4 linked regions of the Arabidopsis thaliana genome follow. The protein of the gene in region 1 interacts with the protein of each later gene in a biochemical or structural test. Each region holds a gene or a part of one and is shown in the gene's direction. Other genes may lie near its edges.

What was found.
Region 2: the proteins of CBL1 (region 1) and AKINBETA1 form a complex in vitro, tested with the Arabidopsis thaliana proteins (one study listed by BioGRID).
Region 3: the proteins of CBL1 (region 1) and CIPK7 form a complex in vitro, tested with the Arabidopsis thaliana proteins (one study listed by BioGRID).
Region 4: of the proteins of CBL1 (region 1) and CIPK1, one has a biochemical effect on the other in vitro, tested with the Arabidopsis thaliana proteins (one study listed by BioGRID).

What each region holds. Positions count from the first base shown.
Region 1 is NC_003075.7:9,814,443-9,819,894, forward strand, and holds CBL1 (calcineurin B-like protein 1), read left to right. Parts: upstream 1-1,911; 5' UTR 1,912-2,168; exon of another isoform or gene 2,169-2,304; intron 2,305-2,544; exon of another isoform or gene 2,545-2,576; 5' UTR 2,577-2,699; coding exon 2,700-2,778; intron 2,779-3,192; coding exon 3,193-3,275; exon of another isoform or gene 3,276-3,538; coding exon of another isoform or gene 3,539-3,574; coding exon 3,575-3,634; intron 3,635-3,738; coding exon 3,739-3,847; intron 3,848-3,937; coding exon 3,938-3,990; intron 3,991-4,110; coding exon 4,111-4,191; intron 4,192-4,287; coding exon 4,288-4,581; 3' UTR 4,582-4,911; downstream 4,912-5,452. Other genes in the region: AT4G17610 (tRNA/rRNA methyltransferase (SpoU) family protein), read right to left, coding at 1-46, 134-227, 313-468; AT4G17616 (Pentatricopeptide repeat (PPR) superfamily protein), read left to right, coding at 5,166-5,452. UniProt on the Arabidopsis thaliana protein: Acts as a calcium sensor involved in the signaling pathway during growth and development and in response to abiotic stresses. May function as a positive regulator of salt and drought responses and as a negative regulator of cold response.
Region 2 is NC_003076.8:7,203,972-7,209,006, forward strand, and holds AKINBETA1 (5'-AMP-activated protein kinase beta-2 subunit protein), read left to right. Parts: upstream 1-1,695; 5' UTR 1,696-1,746; coding exon 1,747-1,944; intron 1,945-3,194; exon of another isoform or gene 3,195-3,252; coding exon 3,253-3,363; intron 3,364-3,451; coding exon 3,452-3,627; intron 3,628-3,708; coding exon 3,709-3,871; intron 3,872-3,953; coding exon 3,954-4,268; 3' UTR 4,269-4,525; downstream 4,526-5,035. UniProt on the Arabidopsis thaliana protein: Regulatory subunit of the probable trimeric SNF1-related protein kinase (SnRK) complex, which may play a role in a signal transduction cascade regulating gene expression and carbohydrate metabolism in higher plants.
Region 3 is NC_003074.8:8,170,802-8,174,692, forward strand, and holds CIPK7 (CBL-interacting protein kinase 7), read left to right. Parts: upstream 1-1,677; 5' UTR 1,678-1,852; coding exon 1,853-3,142; 3' UTR 3,143-3,341; downstream 3,342-3,891. UniProt on the Arabidopsis thaliana protein: CIPK serine-threonine protein kinases interact with CBL proteins. Binding of a CBL protein to the regulatory NAF domain of CIPK protein lead to the activation of the kinase in a calcium-dependent manner.
Region 4 is NC_003074.8:5,988,410-5,994,607, reverse strand, and holds CIPK1 (CBL-interacting protein kinase 1), read left to right. Parts: upstream 1-1,606; 5' UTR 1,607-1,980; coding exon 1,981-2,172; intron 2,173-2,268; coding exon 2,269-2,331; intron 2,332-2,529; exon of another isoform or gene 2,530-3,392; coding exon of another isoform or gene 3,393-3,407; coding exon 3,408-3,479; intron 3,480-3,582; coding exon 3,583-3,690; intron 3,691-3,766; coding exon 3,767-3,847; intron 3,848-3,946; coding exon 3,947-4,126; intron 4,127-4,208; coding exon 4,209-4,424; intron 4,425-4,515; coding exon 4,516-4,620; intron 4,621-4,710; coding exon 4,711-4,827; intron 4,828-4,918; coding exon 4,919-4,981; intron 4,982-5,073; coding exon 5,074-5,148; intron 5,149-5,236; coding exon 5,237-5,299; 3' UTR 5,300-5,684; downstream 5,685-6,198. Other genes in the region: AT3G17500 (F-box family protein), read right to left, coding at 6,110-6,198. UniProt on the Arabidopsis thaliana protein: CIPK serine-threonine protein kinases interact with CBL proteins. Binding of a CBL protein to the regulatory NAF domain of CIPK protein lead to the activation of the kinase in a calcium-dependent manner.

The sequences.
Region 1 (5,452 bases):
CACACAAATAGCTGCAACGCATTATGATTATCCGCAGCAACAAAGCCTGCTTCAACCTCATAACCATCAATTAAACAATTCTGTAATCACTAACACATCATACATATCTAAAAATTCAAAATTGGTAACTCACCAAAATTCTTTAGTAGATGACAAAGCCCAGCCACCAATGAAGCTATGTGGTTGCAATCATCAGAATCAAATCTCTTGTCCCCATTTACCGTATCCTATTCAAAAACATGTTCAAATCTTAAATTGAACAATCCGAAGCAAATTGCCGAAGTGTGAAACAATAAACCAATCAATCAATACCTCTAAACGAAAAGGGAATTGCTCAATGAGAGATTCGAAAAGAGTTGAAGGAGATACGCCTGTGGAGCTTAAAACACAGTCAAGGAAAGCAGGAATAGCTGCTGGTGGAACTTGCTTGAAGCTCAGTGACAATGAAGTAATCACTGACGAACCCATTTCAATTGAAGCTTCGAACTTCAAAAAAATTGGCTGCAAGCAGCCAGAATAGATGAAGAAACGTAAACGAATTTGAAATTAGTACAGAGGGAAGTGTTACGAGGAATCTCTCTGTTAAACCCTTTCAAATAATTTTCATGGCTTAGGACAGATAAACCCTAGTCGTATAATTAGGGGGGAAATTAGAATTATTGATAAGGGCTTTCTTGGGCTTAACTTAGTATGATTGGGCCGTATGGGATAGACTTCAGGAGAAGAAAAAAAAAAAAAAACCGGAAATTGTTCGGGGGATTGAACCCGACGTGAATCGAACACGCAACCTTCTGATCTGGAGTCAGACGCGCTACCATTGCGCCACGGATCCGGATGTTATTATGTTGCATTTATAAAATTATAATACCGTAGTATACGCAAATTAAACAAAACATTTTGAGGACGCGTTCCCAACACGGCCGGTGACCAAAGAGTCAATTTAAGCCCGCTTTAAAGATATCAAAATGATATAAAACTCTAATTGATCGAGTTAACGGCAGGAGAATCAAAGCTACTAATCATAATCAAGAAATTTAATATATATACGCTATTATTATTGTTTTGAACGATAAACACGTGGTCTGGTCGTGATTAAGGTCCTAATTATGTCAACGTTTGCCTGCCACATTGCAGACCGAAGTACTAATTCCACACCGACTGGTCTACGACATATTTAATTCATAAACACAATACTTTATAATTAAATTGATTCTTGTAGAGATTTGGCTTCATGATCTGATTTATTTAGTTAATAACCATTTCAACAGATAATTACAGTTTAGAGCCTTTTTCCAGTTGTCAAGAGTGTTATGGTTTTAAAATGGCACCCTGTAAATATCACATATGTTAGTGGATTTATTTTACCAAAGAAACAAAAAATGTTAATGGATTAAAAAACTTGTGTTTTTTTAGATAGCAAAACCAAAAGAAGATATGGTGACCACTAACACGATCAGTCGAAGACAAATGTTTCCCAGACTTTATTATTGGCGTTTCCATTTTGCATATTAGTCAAATTATGGAGCATCGCAAATATCTAATAAACTAACTATATAAAAAGTTATTATAATACAGGGTTACCAATTCCGTATATTCAGAATATTCCTAAGAGGTGCCATTTTGACTAATAAAATGGACGGATCTTTGATTTATTCCGGAAGTGAATGGATATTAGAAGAAACAAAAGAAATTTTGAATTTCTTGTCCAAAAAATATTTTTCCCATTCTTAGTATACAGAAACATAGAAAATATCGTGTATGCTTACGTAACAATCAAGTTGTAAAAAGAAAAAAAGACAGAAGATAAATAGTACAGAATGAACATAACAGAAATCAATCTATGGAATTAGGTACAATTAGGTTCGGTCTAACTGAAATTACATGACGACAGAAAAAACTGAACTAAACGCCGATTCTATTAACTTCCAAAACTGACTCGTCTCACACGCGCTTACTATGATTCACACGTGCGAATATGCCATCATATAAGCGCTACTAAAATTCATTCCAAAGGAAAAAGAAAAATAAATAATCGATCTCAACCGTCCGATCATCCATCTTGCCATCACCGTTCACCAATCTTCTTCGTCTCCTCTCTCTTTCTCTCTTTTTGCTGTTTCTAGCTCCTCTCTCTCTGGATCTCGCCGGCGAACCGTTTCTCTTGGGTGGTGAGTGTTGCTTCTTATTTTTAAGAATCTTTTTCTTTTATTTCCATCGAATTTCGTTTTTTTGAGTTTGATTTTTGGCCTGTGGAATTCTCGATGTTTCTACATTGATCGTCTGGTTTCGAATCGTGTTTTACTGGTACAATTTTGATTCCATCTCCGTATCTTATGGATTCGAAGAACTTTGTGTTTTTTTTTTCTTTCTTCATTGATGCTACTTTGCTAGGGTTTACACTTTTTTCTTCCATGGTAAAAAAATTTGAGCAAAGTTGTTGAGATTCTTCTAGACTGTTTTCAATTTTACGTTTCACAAAGATTTTTTTAGATGATTTGTTTCTAATGAAATGGCATTGTTTGTGTTCTGTTTCCATATGTGTAGATTTTGAAAATATGTTTGTGATGATTGTGCAGTAAACAGTAGCAATCAAGCTATAGAATCTCAGATATCGCTGAATTAGCTGTTGGATTTTATCCGCCTTTTCTTCGTTATCCGGGGCTCGGGTATAAGGTTTCATCGTCTTATTTCATCTGTAAATGGGCTGCTTCCACTCAAAGGCAGCAAAAGAATTTCGAGGACACGAAGACCCTGTTAAGCTTGCCTCTGAGACAGCTTGTAAGTTTACTCGCGCTATAAGTTTAAACCTCCTCTAGATTCATTTCTCTCAAAGCTGCATGTTCATTTGTTTTCTGATATGAGATGAGAATCATCAGTTAGATTCAAATCATTCTTTCTCTGTTCACTGATTTAGTTTATCTCCGGTTTGGATTTTTTTAGTTTTGTGTTTTGGAGTCTTTGTCTGCCTAACAATTTCTAGTAATGATCCTTCAAAGTTGGTTAACACTCTATCTCATGTTTCTTGTTACCAATACCATCACCTTAATCTTGTTCCTTAACTTGTCAAGACGAGTTCTCTCTCCATGCAAATTCTAAATGTGAATTATTAGTCTCTTTGTTTGTTTGTTTGTTTGTTCCTGGTAATTCTTTGTTTTGATCTCGTAGTGTTGCTTGTTTTTTTCTCTTTTCCAGTTAGTGTGAGTGAGGTTGAAGCATTATTTGAGCTATTCAAGAGCATAAGCAGTTCGGTTGTTGATGATGGTCTGATTAACAAGGTACAAAGTTTGTTTCTTTTGACCCAATTTGGATCTTTTCATGACCCCATCGTTGTATCTTTTTGTTCTTTACGCTATTCATCTACAGTATTTTTCAACTTAGTTGACTTTATTTGAGCAATAATTATTCTTCCATGACGATATGTCTGTTCCATATTGCATCGATTCAATGTATCGTAGCCCTTAATGTTTGACTTGAACTTAACTTATTTTATTGATTGCTTTGATTTTGAATTTTGAAGCCTTCATGGCCCACCTTGTTTATGTTGTTTTTTAATCCTGGCTTCACATGTATGCAGGAGGAGTTTCAACTTGCTTTGTTCAAAAGCCGGAAGAGGGAGAATATATTTGCTAATAGGGTAAAATCTTAATTCTTCAGGCTTTTACAAGATTCATCTTCTGGAAGAGTGATCTAAACCAAGATAATATGTCCATTATCCTAAACAATATTGCTTTTCCGCAGATATTTGATATGTTTGATGTTAAACGAAAAGGAGTCATCGATTTCGGGGACTTTGTAAGATCACTCAATGTTTTCCACCCCAATGCTTCTCTAGAAGACAAAATAGATTGTAAGTTGACATAAGATAGTTTCATATATAGGTGTTTATTGAAGCTTTTGTGAAGAGATTTATTGATTCTGGTCTGCCATTTTTTCTCAGTTACGTTTAGGCTTTACGACATGGACTGCACGGGTTACATTGAACGACAAGAGGTAATACTAACTTGCAAGCTTTGAATACTAGTCATGATAGATCTTTGCCATGTTCTTGAGTATTCATCTTTTACTTAATAACTTTGCAAGAAATCGTTAATGAATGTGATATATTTGCAGGTCAAGCAAATGTTGATCGCGCTTCTCTGCGAATCTGAAATGAAACTGGCTGATGAAACCATAGAGATAATACTCGATAAGGTTTGTTGTTGTCTAAGGCTTTATTTTTCTAGATGGTATACATTTAGAGATGATGTTCTTAATGTGGTTTCCTTCGTCCTTCTCATATATGAACAGACATTTGAAGATGCAGACGTGAATCAAGATGGAAAAATTGATAAATTAGAGTGGAGTGATTTCGTAAACAAAAATCCATCATTGCTTAAGATCATGACTCTTCCATATCTCAGGTATATTACAAATTGCCTTTTATGGAAACCAAAGAAAACTGAAAAATGCCAAATGAAATGTCATATTAACTTGTACATAAACAATGCAGGGATATTACGACAACGTTTCCGAGTTTTGTCTTCCATTCGGAGGTCGATGAGATTGCCACATGAAGAAACAAACTGGTTTAAGACCGAGTAGATTGCCACGAGTTGGAAGAACAAGTCTGAGCTAATCGGTGTAATCAACATCTGTTTGTAAACAGTAGTAGAGCATATTCTCTTGAAATTGTTTGGGTTACTTTTTTCTTCTCACAACAGTTTAAAATTTTGGGTTTTTAGCTTACAAAAAAAAAAAAAGAAGAAGCGCGTAATCACCAATCCTTCACTTCATATAGTTAGGAAATGTTAATGAGTTTGTACATATTACATCATACGTTTGTTGTAATTGTTTTTTTTCAAGTAAAAAAGTAAAGATTTGTTACGTTTACTCGGGGTTCTAATTGTTCCAATGGAATCTTATACTGCAAAAACGTGAATTTGAGATTTTGTTGGGTCCTTAACCGCAAAAGCGAAAGTACGAATGTCCTAGGACCCGACCCGATGAAATTTACAGTCTTGCCACTCTTCTCTTGTTACAGTGTTCCTCTCTTCTCTCTCGATTTCGAAGTTTCCAGCAATTTAGGGTTCTTTCTCGATTGGAGAATTCGTATGTTGTTATCATGTTCTCGTCATTGTTGTGCTTTCTTTGTTAAATTCTAGATTTGGAATCGAAATTCTAGACTAATGTTTAGGAAACGGAACTTAGTTCTAGAATCATTTCGTCGATTCGATAGCGGTAACGTAGAAACCCTAATTTCATGGGTCTTGTGTAGTCGCACCTCAAAGCCGTCTCTGTTCTGTACTAGTGTTAAACCTGCTAGATTAAACTGGGAAGTTTCTTCTCAAGTAATTCTCAAGAAGAAGCTAGAAACAGCTCTTAAAGATCACCGTGTAGATGATGCTTGGGACGTGTTTAAAGATTTCAAACGCCTCTATGGATTTCCAGAGAGTGTAATCATGAACAGATTTGT
Region 2 (5,035 bases), on another chromosome or scaffold:
CGCAATGTGAGGAAGAGAGGTTGAAGAAGGAGGCAAGTGTGTGTGTGTGTTTTGGTGGCGACACTCTTTAAGGGAGGAATAAGCGAGGATGAAACAAACAGTGAAACGTATAACCCCAAAAACCCTAGTTACTTTCCTCTTTTTTTATATGTATATGTTTATTTTATATAGCAATTTCCTATTTTTCCTATTTGAAATTTGACAAAAAATAAGAATAATATTCATGATTTGTTTAATTACTAGTATTACAAATATCCTCTAATCTGGTCTTTATCCTTCGTAATTAAAAACATTCAATTTATTTCTTTTTAATTTTTGTTTTGAGAAAACATCATTTATGTAGGGTTTTAAAAAAATTTAAATTAACTTTATAAACTTATTTTCGTTAGACCTATTTATAACGCGTTTATTTATTAACCTTAGTTTATGTCCTTAAATAGATGTGTTAGAATTTGTGTAGCAATTCTAAGTTATTTTGTACTTTTAATGTGATCTAACAAACTTTTGTTACAACTAAGGATTAGTAGTTGGTAAAAGAGAACGAAGATAACTAGTTATCGCTCTTATAATCTCTTTATTGTTTTATTGTTTAATTCGTTTAAGTTATTTAATTATAATATTTAGTCTTTTAAAAATACGTGAAAAATTATCTGAATTGTTAATATACATATAATAATTTTTATATATATGATGGATATTAACGATGATTTCTGAGGTGAAAACTATTATCTTAATTTTTTTTTTGGGTGAGGCTATTATCTTAATTCTTCAATATGTGAACCTACGAAGAATAAAGTAATTGATGAAGATTTGAATGAATTTTTGTCTCTGAAAATGACATTTGAAGGTGTCTGTGGAAGATTTAGTGTCCACTAGATAAGATTTCTAAACAAAAGGTCAATATATTGATGAAAATTGAAGTGATTGAAATCAAGTTTTTCCAATGATAGTACACTCGTTTGAAGAAAATATGAGGTTGAATCAAAACCTTAGTTCAAAGTAAATGATAAAGCAAAAGCTGAAATCTTACAATTTGAAAGTGACCAATATACAATGCGAGAAAGCAAAAGAAAAAACAATGACTCAACCTATAAGGAAAGTGCATGACAATCACTCATGGCTTAGTGAATAGTGACCATCGCCTTTTACAAGTTTACATTGGCTTTGAAACCCTCCAAACTTTTCGAAACAATCTTTCGACCAATAACTAGTTTACGGGACTAACCAATACAAATCTTGGAAAATGATGATTCTTTGACCATCTCTATTCTAACCCCACCTATTGGAGTTTAAGGCCTTTTCATCGTCACGATACGCATACTATGATCACTGGCTCTAGCAAGATGTTAAGGCACACAAATCGGTGGCAAGGAGGTGACTGGCCCTTGTGTCATTATCCTTCTCAAAGGCATTGAACCAACTTTTTATTCACATTTGTTTATTATATACTAAAAGAAATAAACAAAAAAAAAGTGGATAATTATAAACTTTTGGACGCCAAGTCACTCGTTTATCCATTTGGTACGGATTTTAATGATATCTCTCTCTCAAGAGCCCCTTTTATGCAAAATCTCTTTTTCGCTACCAATGGCATTATTCGTAATTAACTTCTAACTTGAGGGGCGTTTCATTATCTCCTCCTCGTCGTCCTCCCTCCATTTTTCTTCACGTCTGGTTTTCTCTCTCTTTTCCTCTATCTCTCTCCTCTCTTTGTCTCTCTCGCTTCTGTGATTTGGGCTTTTTCAGATGGGAAATGCGAACGGCAAAGACGAAGACGCCGCCGCCGGTAGCGGTGGTGCAGATGTTACCTCGTCCTCGGCGAGATCTAATGGCGGCGATCCTTCTGCACGCAGTCGTCACCGTCGTCCTTCTTCAGACTCTATGAGCAGTTCTCCTCCCGGAAGTCCTGCTCGATCTCCATCTCCTTTCTTATTCGCTCCTCAGGTTCCCTCTCTCGAATATCTCTCTCTGTTTAATCGTTGAATTTGATTTCTGGTTTTGAATTGAATCGATTGAAACATTCGCCCAAAGAGATAATAGTAAGAGAATCTTTTTGATTTGTTTCGTTGAGTAAGAGAATGTTCGTTCACTTGACTTTTCATTTGTTTCACTAATTGTGAGACACTTTCTTCATTTAGATAGGATCCAAGTACAAAATCTCCAGCCTTTTTTTTATGAGTGAACTCTACTTGTTCACTTGATTTGTGTTATCCTGTTGGTTCTTGAGAATTTGTAATGTAGATTCTTGTTCTTAAAGCTTTTTTCTGAGTTGGGTTTAGAGATTCTGTACTAGAGAATCTCTTTTATTTTTGTGTTATCTTGGTTCAGGTATCTTGAAATAATGCATAATGTGGAAAAGTTTCTACCTTTCTTTAAGATGTTGTTTTGGTTTCCTAGCTATTTTTTCTTTATTTTCCAGCCGGTCTCTAGTCATTTACTGGTCGCTCATGATTCTTGATGTCCCTTAGTGAGTCTTTGTGTAATTTATCTTTGTTTCATTGTGAAGAGGGCAACTTTGCAGACTAAGTACGTTTGTGAATGAAATCTTTTGTATAAAGGAATTAGACTTGACTTGGTTTTGTTTGGTTCTTGAGAAGTCAAAAACTCTGGTAAATGACAAGGTAGCTAGTTACTCTTCCTTAGTTTTGGTGGAGAGAGAGAGAGAGGCTTAGATCACCTTATTGCTATGTCTTTTCCTTTTGGTGAGTTAAAATCTTGTTAATCATACTAGAGAATCTGCTTTAGAGAAGGTCTTATTTGTCTTCTGATTATGCCTCCATGCCTGGTGTGGAAAAGCGTATGGCAGTCAAATAGGATGATTATTGTCTCTCTAGGTTTTTATGCTGATTTTGACTTTCCTGCTGCTCTCTGGTCATTTACCAGTTACTGATACTGTTCTGTTGATTTGCATGTCGCATTGTGAGTCTTTTGTGTAATGTCTTTTGCTTTCATTTTTAAGAGGAGGGAGGGCAAGCTTGTTCTTTTCTTCGCCCTTTTTGAATTTAAACACGCAGAGCTTTTACTTGAACGAATTACAGATTTTGGATGTTTCGTCATTCTTCTCATTGTTCTTAATATGTGAATAATTCATAAGATAAGTGAAGGACAACCTTCTAAAATTGACCTTGTTATCAGGTTTTTGTGGGAATAGTGAAATATCTTTTGCTAATAAGGTCTTGTCTGTACTCTGTATGCGAGTAAATTTCTGAGTCTACTGTTGCTATATTCATTTTCGACTCCTTTTCTTTTCAGCCCACATTGTTATTCCACGTTACATCTTACAACATTTGCTCACCTATGCGTCACCTCTTCCATTGTTTAGGCTTAACATGTGTACCTAATGGCTGCATTTCGTGTCGGATGGTAGATATAATGTTTTGACATTCGCAAATTCTTCTTGCACATTGGTTTGTAAGATCTCACGGCTCAGTGTTTATGTGGATATTCTCAGGTTCCCGTGGCTCCATTGCAGAGAGCAAACGCCCCTCCTCCTAATAACATCCAATGGAACCAATCACAGAGAGTTTTTGATAATCCCCCAGAGCAAGGAATCCCTACCATCATTACATGGAACCAAGGAGGTAATGATGTGGCGGTGGAAGGATCATGGGACAATTGGAGATCAAGGTATAATTGACTTTGTTTCTCGTGGACCCTCTCTCGAGATTTCGTGATATATGTTAAAAACAATATGTTTACATTCACCAGGAAGAAGCTGCAGAAATCAGGGAAAGACCACTCGATTCTCTTTGTCCTTCCATCTGGCATATACCACTACAAGGTGATTGTGGACGGTGAATCCAAATACATCCCAGATTTACCCTTTGTAGCAGACGAAGTTGGCAATGTCTGTAACATTCTCGATGTTCATGTAAGTTACTTTCCCACCTCTTTTTTTCTCATGTTAAATCTATCAATCAGCTTAACAGTATCTGCAATCATTATGCATGCAGAACTTTGTGCCAGAAAACCCAGAAAGCATAGTGGAGTTTGAGGCGCCACCATCACCTGATCATAGCTACGGTCAAACCCTACCAGCCGCAGAAGATTACGCGAAAGAGCCACTGGCGGTGCCACCTCAGCTTCATCTAACACTTCTTGGCACTACTGAAGAGACAGCCATAGCCACAAAGCCTCAACATGTGGTGCTTAACCATGTGTTCATAGAGCAAGGATGGACTCCTCAATCCATAGTAGCTTTGGGTTTAACCCACAGGTTCGAGTCTAAGTACATAACTGTTGTCCTCTACAAACCGCTCACACGGTAACCCTAAAAATTCAGTGCCACATTGTTCTCTCTCTTTCTTTCTTTTTCATCTCTCAATTATGTGAAAACATGTTCTTTGTTCATAGTGACTAGTGAGTGCCCAACATTTGAGTTTATTAACCTCTTTCTTACCTGGTTTGTGGTGCTTGTGTACAAAGCTTCTCTCATTGTAACGATTGTTGTTTTATTTTCTGCAAAAACTGTAAAATACATTCGCTAATAATGGCTATAACAAGCTTATCTGCTAGCAACCAAACACATAAATCCTGTTTTTTTTCTTCTTCTGACAAAACGTTTGCGAAAGTGACAAATTTTTGAAAATAATCTTTCTTTTTGGTATTGGAAAAGGCTAACCAGTTTGAAAGTGTACTCATAATAAATCCACGTCGTCTATTTGATTGAAAATTTTAATTTGGATAAGAAAAAGATAAAAGAGAAATAAGGTGAGAAAAAGTGAGCCACACGATGGAGTATGGCGGAAGAAGCATCGACCGAGTAATTGAGACGCTCTGTTTCCAATTACTACTCTCTCGAGCTCCTCCGCTCTGCATTGTCGCCGAGAGTTCCTTTCTTGTCCGACAAACTACTTCTTCTCCTTCGATAAGCCAATTCTGCGCCATAGATTTTTGAAATCTACTGCCGGAAAGGCTGCATGCGATTTCAACTCCCTTTTCCCGGGACAATTCGCAGGTGTGTATTCCTGAAGCTCCGTTGTACTATACTACTATTCCATGTTTCACTTCGAACGAAGAATCAATCATTCGGTAA
Region 3 (3,891 bases), on another chromosome or scaffold:
AATAAAATAATTCTAGAAATTGAACTTTTGTTTTTAACACCAAAATCAAAACCAATGGGCCCAATTCTTTGCTGACTTGGCCAAATGAGAGCCGTCCATATGTCAGTCGACAACTGCCAAACAATCTTGACGGTTTGTTAGTTTGGCTCAAAAGCCACCAGTAATCACTGATCAGTTTGGGACTTGAGTAAATGACTTATTTACCCTTAGTTCAATAATACGGTTTTGTGTGATTTAATTTGCTAGTTAAGTTAAACCATATTTAAGGATGGTTTAATTACATTTCAGGTGGAAAAAATTGATGAGAGAATCTAGCTAGAAAAAGATGGACACGTATGGACCGTTGAAAGTAGGAATACAAATTATTTAAGGAATACAATATTTAATTTCAACACCAAGTGTCGAATAGATACAACAATAATAATGATGAACACCAAGATTTATTTTATATTCTCTATTTTGAATATTGATTACTCCAACTTTTTCATGATTTGTTTTTCAGCACTTGAGATTGGAATAGACACACTGTGATATCGACCATAAAATATTTTCTTAGGAATATATCGTTGTGTATAAAGTATAAAGTTAAGTGTAATGCTTTAAACAAGAAAAATAAAAGAGTTGAGATTGTAATCATAGCAAAAGGCTATTTTATAGACCTTTTAGCGGATGGAAAAAAAAAAAAAAAAACACCTTTTAGCTACATGATGTAGCCTACATCATATATAAAAAAGATAATAGAATTATTTAAGAAATGTAATGTGTTATAAATTAATAACCAACACATACACAATAAGATTCATATAAGTTTATGAAATCAAGGTTGTGATATTGTTGTTATTGAGATCCAAAACTTAAAATCCAAAATATCAGAACTTTTGGAGCATTGGATTATATAAAATATATTTTTCTCAATCAAATCTTTTTTTAGTTAACAACTTTAAATTAATCGCAATAGAATTATTCATGAAAAATGTTATTTACATATAACCCAATCCAATGATTTCAAAAGAGATATTATAGAATTTTGTAAAGCATTAAAGATTTAACTACATTTTGTTACATAGACCCATAATCATAAAACCTTTGATTCATAGTTTCATTCTTATAATGGTCTCTTAAGTATGAAGGTGTTGTAGCGGAGACTAGAAATATATATGAGGGTAATGTTTGTCTGTTGAGACACATTTTTACAAGCTATTAAAAAAAATGATTCCAACAATATTTATTGAAAGTAAATGTATTTTATTAGGAGATTTTAAAATTAATGTCATATTCTAAAATGTACAATATATACATTATTTTTTGAAGATTTTACAATAAATTTCAAAGTGAAACTGAAATGATTTTATTAAATTTATATACATAACTCTTTGTGTTTTTTTGACAGTCATATATATAACTCTTAAACACAAGCTTTTACAGAACATCTACAGTTATTTTAGGTGAATAAACACTCCAATTTCAAACAATTTAAATAAATAAATGATAATTATCTGTCAACCCATAAACTTTACATTGTAAGACCATTTTATTTTATTTATTTTGACTATTTATGGATATGTGATATTATTGAGAAAAAAAACACTATTACTAATTGACAGAAAAAATACACTTAATATTTTCTCCTAAATTTTCTCAACGAATTAATTACAAAATAATGTGTATACCAAGTAAAAAGATTCTACTTCTCAGTGACAGCAGAACTAATTTATTCAAGGGTAGTTTCGGAATAATAAAAAAGCAATAAATCTCTTTTTCCTATAAAAGCAAAGAGACACTCACCAAACAACTCGTCCCTGAAACCTCTCTTCAGAAAACTCAGGCACCATTTTCTCCTTCCGCCGCCGCCATGGAATCACTTCCCCAGCCGCAAAACCAATCATCTCCGGCAACAACTCCGGCGAAGATCCTCCTTGGGAAATACGAACTCGGTCGTCGTCTCGGTAGCGGAAGCTTCGCGAAAGTCCATTTAGCTCGATCAATCGAATCCGACGAGCTCGTCGCCGTTAAAATCATCGAGAAGAAGAAAACAATCGAATCCGGTATGGAACCAAGAATAATCAGAGAGATCGATGCGATGCGTCGTCTTCGTCATCATCCAAACATACTCAAGATCCATGAAGTTATGGCAACCAAATCTAAGATCTATCTCGTAATGGAACTCGCTTCCGGTGGTGAACTTTTCTCAAAAGTCCTCCGTCGTGGACGTCTTCCTGAATCAACGGCGCGTCGTTACTTTCAACAACTCGCCTCCGCTCTTCGTTTCTCTCACCAAGACGGTGTCGCTCACCGTGATGTGAAACCTCAGAATCTACTCTTAGATGAGCAAGGTAACCTCAAGGTCTCTGACTTTGGTTTATCAGCTTTACCGGAGCATCTACAAAACGGATTGCTTCACACGGCGTGTGGTACTCCGGCTTATACAGCTCCGGAGGTTATTTCACGGAGGGGATACGACGGAGCAAAAGCTGATGCGTGGTCTTGTGGTGTGATTTTGTTTGTTTTATTGGTTGGCGATGTTCCATTTGATGATTCGAATATCGCTGCGATGTATCGGAAGATTCATCGGAGAGATTATCGGTTTCCGAGCTGGATTTCGAAACAAGCTAAATCGATAATCTATCAGATGTTAGATCCGAATCCAGTAACGAGGATGAGTATTGAAACAGTGATGAAAACGAATTGGTTCAAGAAGTCTCTAGAGACTTCTGAGTTTCATCGTAACGTCTTTGATTCGGAAGTAGAGATGAAATCGAGTGTTAATTCGATTACTGCTTTTGATTTGATCTCGTTATCGTCGGGATTAGATCTTTCTGGATTGTTTGAGGCTAAGAAGAAGAAGGAGAGGAGATTCACGGCGAAGGTTTCGGGTGTTGAAGTGGAGGAGAAGGCGAAGATGATTGGGGAGAAGTTAGGTTATGTAGTGAAGAAGAAGATGATGAAGAAGGAAGGAGAAGTGAAGGTTGTTGGATTAGGGAGAGGAAGAACTGTGATTGTGGTGGAAGCAGTGGAGTTAACGGTGGATGTTGTGGTGGTTGAAGTGAAAGTTGTTGAAGGTGAAGAAGATGATTCACGGTGGTCTGATTTGATTACTGAGCTTGAAGATATAGTTCTTTCATGGCACAATGACATCATGTAAATAGATTGTGACTTTGTGGATTTTAGTCTCTTTTTTGTTTTGTTTCTGTTCAGTTTTGTATAATCCATGAAGAAATCAAAATCTCCCGCTTCATTGTCTTTTTACCAGCAGATACATTACCCTCTCTGCTACCGATTCCATAAGCTTTGATCACTACATGGTACTCAATAATGATTCTCTTATTCGCTCCTTGTCGCTAAGCCCATGGGCTCAACTCAACGCATCTTCAACATCCTCAATATAAAATTCAAAGCCTCAAGAATAGGTGGGGATAATGTATCTTAGACATTTCGTCGAATTGGTGGGTGCTAAAAAAAATTCTTCAGTAAAAGAAAAGGGACGTAAGATAAGGTCCAACAAAAACAAATTATTCATAGGAAGACTTGCCAAGTCAAAAGTCAAGCTCCTCACACTTTTATAAAAACAAGTGAGTTTATGCTCATCACTTACCACAAACAAATTATCTTCCTTTCCCAAAAAAAACGAAATTGAGAGACGATGATTCGAAGCCTATCTTATTGCTTTCTTACCATCTATTTCTTCTTGAGCATTCTTCCATTACCAAACACCATTGCTTGTCCCACACGGTTACTGTGCCGCAGCGACCAAAGAGATGCTCTTTTAGAGGTACAAAAGGAGTTACATGTACCAACAACTACATGGAACAAGAACGTTGACTGTTGTTCTTGGGATGGTGTCACATGTGATGCTATATTGGGAGAGGTGATATCACTACAACTCTATTATAG
Region 4 (6,198 bases), on another chromosome or scaffold:
TCATCTACACACAAAAGAGAGAGAGAGAGAGGTTCTGATAACATAGATCAATCAATATGTTACTCACTGCCGGCAGCAATACTATCACCGGCCATTTTGACACGTTTGAGAGACTCGAATAATTTTAATTATTGGTTTTTTCTCCTTTTCTATATAGTATCTATTCATTTCAGCCACATCATTTACTAACTACAAATTTTAATAAAAACCTTGGGAAAAAGATGTGTAGAGAAACATGTGACATATGACCTTTTCATTACCAAAAATATGTTGGGACGACTGACGAGAGCTAAGAACCACTACATTCTTCAATAATCTATGTATCCAATAAAAAGATATAATATGGAGTTTTCCAAATTCAAGAGATTAGCCTGGTGCCCAGGCCCTGGTTTATTGAAACTTTTGGATTCTCAAAAACAATTTATTTATTTTAATTAAATACACAAACCGCATAAGAAAAACAAATATAAATTGAATGGTTCCATGTGATTTAATTAATTGTGAGCCGACAAAGGACGAGACATGAAATATAGTATAAATTACCATAGTTTTTTTTAAAAAATATTAACTTTAAGTGTATCATTAACGATTGTGTTTCTAAACGCTTGCCTATATTGCGAATTAAAAATTTGTAAAAGTCTACAACTAATATTATTAGTCTACAAAGACAGAAACAATATAAAACTGAAAGCACCATGTTTATTTCCCCCCAAACCGAAAGCACTATCGTAAAAAAGTGTTTTAAATCTAATTATCAATTCATGCACGATATCGACGTATATAAATGGTTTATTACCAAATTATCTCTTAAACTGAAAATGCCACGACAATGAAGACCTACTGTCTATGAAACCAAGTCATAAGTTCAAAATTTCCATAGAAACGAATGGGTTATGAACGCGTTGTTTAATTTGTTGTAGTGTGTATATATAACTTGATCTTAAGTTTAGGTCTCTTTTGATCTCCTCTTTTATAACAAAGGTACAAAACTAAACTGTAACTTTAAGAAATCATAGTTGGACTTCAACTTTTAAGTAACTCCAACATGAAAACTTGGAAAGTATGTGATTCCTTGTGAACTTTTATGTGTATACAAGTTTGTTTCTACATTTAAGAACTAAAATCCGAAAGCCAAATCAAAACTGCTCCAGTAACAAGAACTATAAAACTGCAAGCACCAATCTTTTTGTAGCGTTTCTTTCTGACTTTAAACCAAAAGTTCTTATGAATATATTTTTTCATCTATTATTATTTAATTTCAACATAAAACTAATGCAACAAATGACGTGGGCCTATTGATGCATACAAGTACACACATAAAATACACACATATTCGCAATATACATCATATATAGAATTATTCTGATAAATCAATATACTCTTTGCGTATATTTTCCATATTTTGATTGTTGACAGAAATAAGATCCTTTTTAAATTTCTCCTTATAATGAACATAGACATAATTTCATTTGATAGGAGTTTTATTTGACCAATAATAATAAATCTCGATAAGTACCCTACTAAAAAAATCTTATTTCGATAATATCAAATCTTATATGGTTTGTTAGATTAATCTTTTTCTTTTGTGAAGATTAATATGTTTCTAGTTATCCAATAAAAATCTGGCTAACAAAAACCAAAAAAAAATAGTTAACGAGGAATATATATATAAAAAGAAGTGAATATAATAAGAAGAGAAGAGGAAACAAAGAGAAGTAGCGTCCTCTCTTCAATTTCAACCGGCACTTTCTTCTCTTCTTCTTCTTCTTCCCAATCTTCCTCGTCTCTTTACCTACACCTATATATATATATATATATATATCTCCTTCCCTCACACACATACCTGCACAGCTACAATAATCTACTTCCCCTCTTTCAATAACGGAATTAATAGTAATCTAATCGGAAGATTCAAGCGAGAAATCGATTTGGTTGTCTGTTAATTTGTTGGGAAATAAATTGAAATAGGAGATTGATTGGATGGTGAGAAGGCAAGAGGAGGAGAAGAAGGCGGAGAAGGGAATGCGTCTGGGGAAATACGAGCTAGGGAGGACGCTCGGCGAGGGTAATTTCGGTAAAGTTAAATTCGCTAAAGATACCGTCTCCGGTCATTCCTTCGCCGTTAAAATCATCGACAAGTCTCGTATCGCCGATCTCAACTTCTCCTTACAGGTTCCCATCTCTCTATCATCATTTCTAATTTTTTTCTTTTCTCTTCTTTTACTAAATTTGTAATTTGACAGATCCAATTCTTATGAATCTGTGCAGATAAAAAGAGAGATCCGGACTCTGAAAATGTTGAAACATCCCCACATTGTTAGATTACATGAGGTCCGTATCTTAAATTTTTGTGTATAATCATCTTTGGATTATCGAAATGATTCTGTGATTAGGAAGTAAAAAGGTTTATTGCTTAATTAGTATAACAATTTTTGATTATTCTTCTGTTTGCTTGTTTCTGTTTATTTAGTATATACCTGAGTATGACAGAAAGTGATCGAATTATTGCCTGCTTATGGATGGTTATTCAAATTTTGATTCGTCATTTTAGATTGTTAGATTAGGTTTAGTAAACTATTTTTAGTTAATTTCTTCATTGTTGTTTCTTTATCTATCAAAATGGAGCTGACGAGGATTAAAAACACCTCAAATCTTGGATAATTGTTGTTTGCTTTTTGGATCTTTTTTTTTACTGTTTAGGAATATTCTTACAAGTCATTTGGTTTCGTACCCAAACATGTTTCATTTAGCTTGTTTTTCACGTTGCCAATTAGCCGCATCATTTTACATAATTATTAAGTTAATTATTCCATTATTTGATATGGTGGCTTGGCCGGTAACACAAATCTGACCTGTTCAATTCAAAGGTGGGGTCCTAAAAAAAATTATCGTGAAAAATGCAGGATATGTCGCTTGATCATCATATAATTGCTTAATCTTAGTACCCTTTTAAGCTTTTTATCATGTGGACCCTCTTTGATCTTATGCTTAGTTTTACTTTTTATTTTATTTTATTCATATAGTATTATTTCAGATGATTATTGTATGGGTCATTGCTTGCTGTATCTTTGCGTTTTATTGTTGACTTCTAATTATTTCGATTGCTTCTTCCTCTTTGCCATTTAACACGAGATTAATCGTGACTTTTGGTTAAGCAACCATTGTGGATCTTCACTTATTTGATACACGTGGTCCACTTTTTAAGCTCGTGACTAACTTTGTCGTGTCTTGGACAACTAAGTGTTTTTTATGTAATCTGTGGATATGAATGCAATTCGAATTCTAAATGTTTCTTTTTCTTTCTTGTGACTAATCTTTTGGATTCTCAAACATGAAACATCTTACCTCAGAACTCACTGTTCCTTTACCTTGAAACTAATGGCCTCTTCCTTATGGTAATCATGCAGGTCTTGGCTAGCAAAACGAAAATTAATATGGTAATGGAACTTGTTACCGGAGGAGAATTGTTCGACAGAATTGTAAGACTCTTACTAGCCTCTATGCTCAAAGCAAAAAAGATTTTTTTTCTTTTTTTGACGAGTGTCATTTTTGCTAAACTCACACTTTGATGATAACTCTCAGGTTTCCAACGGAAAATTAACAGAAACTGATGGAAGAAAAATGTTTCAGCAGCTTATCGATGGAATCAGCTACTGTCATAGCAAAGGTGTTTTCCACAGGGATCTCAAGGTCTGTGATTCTCTCACTGTGTTTCAAACCATGGAAACCTTATGGAATAGTGTACTGATGTTTTTCTATATTGCAGCTAGAGAATGTTCTTCTTGATGCAAAGGGACATATAAAGATCACTGATTTTGGCCTCAGTGCTCTGCCTCAGCATTTTAGGGTACTTGAAAATATCATCTTAAAACCATAGCATATCACAGCAGAATTATAATTGTTGAATCCGTTCGAGTTACAACTAATTTTCTCTTTGGCATTTTAGGATGACGGATTGTTGCATACAACCTGTGGAAGTCCTAATTACGTTGCGCCTGAGGTTTTAGCTAACAGAGGCTACGATGGTGCAGCATCAGACATATGGTCCTGTGGTGTAATCTTGTATGTGATTCTAACCGGATGTCTTCCTTTCGACGACAGAAACCTTGCAGTTCTTTACCAGAAGGTAAACCTCATTTTTTCTTATATATATGCCAATTCAATACACATTTTGAAGAAATAAGCTTGATAATTGATTTGATTTCTAGATATGTAAAGGAGACCCACCAATACCAAGATGGTTATCCCCGGGTGCAAGAACCATGATTAAGAGAATGCTTGATCCAAATCCAGTCACGAGGATCACAGTTGTGGGTATTAAAGCCAGCGAGTGGTTCAAACTTGAGTACATTCCTTCAATTCCCGATGATGATGACGAAGAAGAAGTTGACACAGACGATGATGCTTTCTCAATCCAAGAACTCGTAAGAATCTGCCACCCTTACTCTCTATCGCAACTGCATTTGAGTCAAGTACAATGTCCTCATTTCTCTGTCTCTCTTTTGAATGGTCTAGGGATCAGAAGAAGGGAAGGGCAGTGATTCACCGACCATCATCAATGCGTTTCAGTTAATCGGAATGTCTTCCTTTCTTGACCTGTCCGGTTTCTTTGAACAAGAGGTAACTAATCTTCTAATACTCTGTTTCAAAGATCTGCTCTCTGCTTGAGCCAATGTATAATAAAAAGGAGTTATACTTTTACTTTCTCAGAATGTATCAGAGAGGAGAATAAGATTCACTTCAAATAGCTCAGCAAAAGATTTACTGGAGAAAATCGAAACAGCCGTTACAGAAATGGGATTCAGTGTACAAAAGAAACATGCCAAGGTGGGTCTTCACAACATGGTCTTCCTCTTCCTTAGCAACTTGGAATTTCAAATCTGTAGGTTTATAAACTTTAAACTGTATTTTGTTTCAGTTAAGAGTAAAACAAGAAGAAAGAAACCAGAAAGGTCAAGTTGGTTTATCAGTAACAGCTGAGGTATATTAACTATTACGTAAACATTATTTCACTGTTCAATAGACTATTTAGTGAGATTATTTGACTAATAGAAGAAATTCTTATGATATCAGGTTTTCGAGATAAAGCCGTCACTGAACGTGGTTGAGCTAAGAAAATCTTATGGCGATTCATGTTTATATAGACAGGTATGCCACTATTGTCATTTCTTAATTAGACTGAAGAAACACATATCAAAGATAAAAATGTTTATGTTTGATATTGGGGTTGGTGCAGTTGTACGAGAGACTATTAAAAGACGTGGGCACATCCTCGCCGGAGCAAGAGATAGTAACTTAGGTGTTGGTGTTTTCGGCTGAAGAGATATACATAGCTCTAATAATTTATCATATGGAACACACCATCCATGTTCATATAATTTATTATCTTAAGTATATATAAAAGGAGCTCGATTTATATGATTAGTGCAAATAGTAATTGCATTTAAGTATAAACCGTGGCGTAGATCTTTCCTCAAGAATTAGAGATTTTATTCACTACCTTTGTATTTGTTTTTATTATTATTTGGTGTGGCAAATCTGCCTACTAGCAAAAAAGATCCCATAAAAAATCTCTTCATTATTTTTGTAAATAATATACATGTGTTTAGTTTGTATCTGTACATCATTCAATTCCGCACCAACCGATCTACGTATATAAATTTTTAGTATTATGCTATGTTGCTTTCGTCTCATAAAATACTCTCAAGAGTCATGAGTCATGTGACCTATCAACATTTAGCGTCCTGGAATGTAACAATTGTAGTTTTAAAGTTAGTCAAATTCACAACTTGTTCTTGTTTTAGTTGGAACTTGAATGTAGTGCAAATAAGCCAGGAATCAAAATAATATATCTAGTCATAGATTAATCAAACGATTTTACTACAAAAACGCAAAAACGAATAAACAAAAAAAGGAGATTGAAGAAATTACGTCCTTACCTGTATCGACTAATACTGAACCAAACTTGGAACATAATTGAAAATAAAACGGCTCACATGAGTTCATAAAAGGAATGAACTTAGGCCATTCGCCAAAATGGATTTCTGTGTATTCACGGTCCTCCCCAACAATGTATACAAGGTTCTTGCTCGCAAGTCTGTTACTTGTCTCACAACCCACATAGCAAGGCCATTCCTTTCTCCTTGTCGATGAAGAAACTGTCATACGATAACATAGCACGACCACCAATGTCTACAT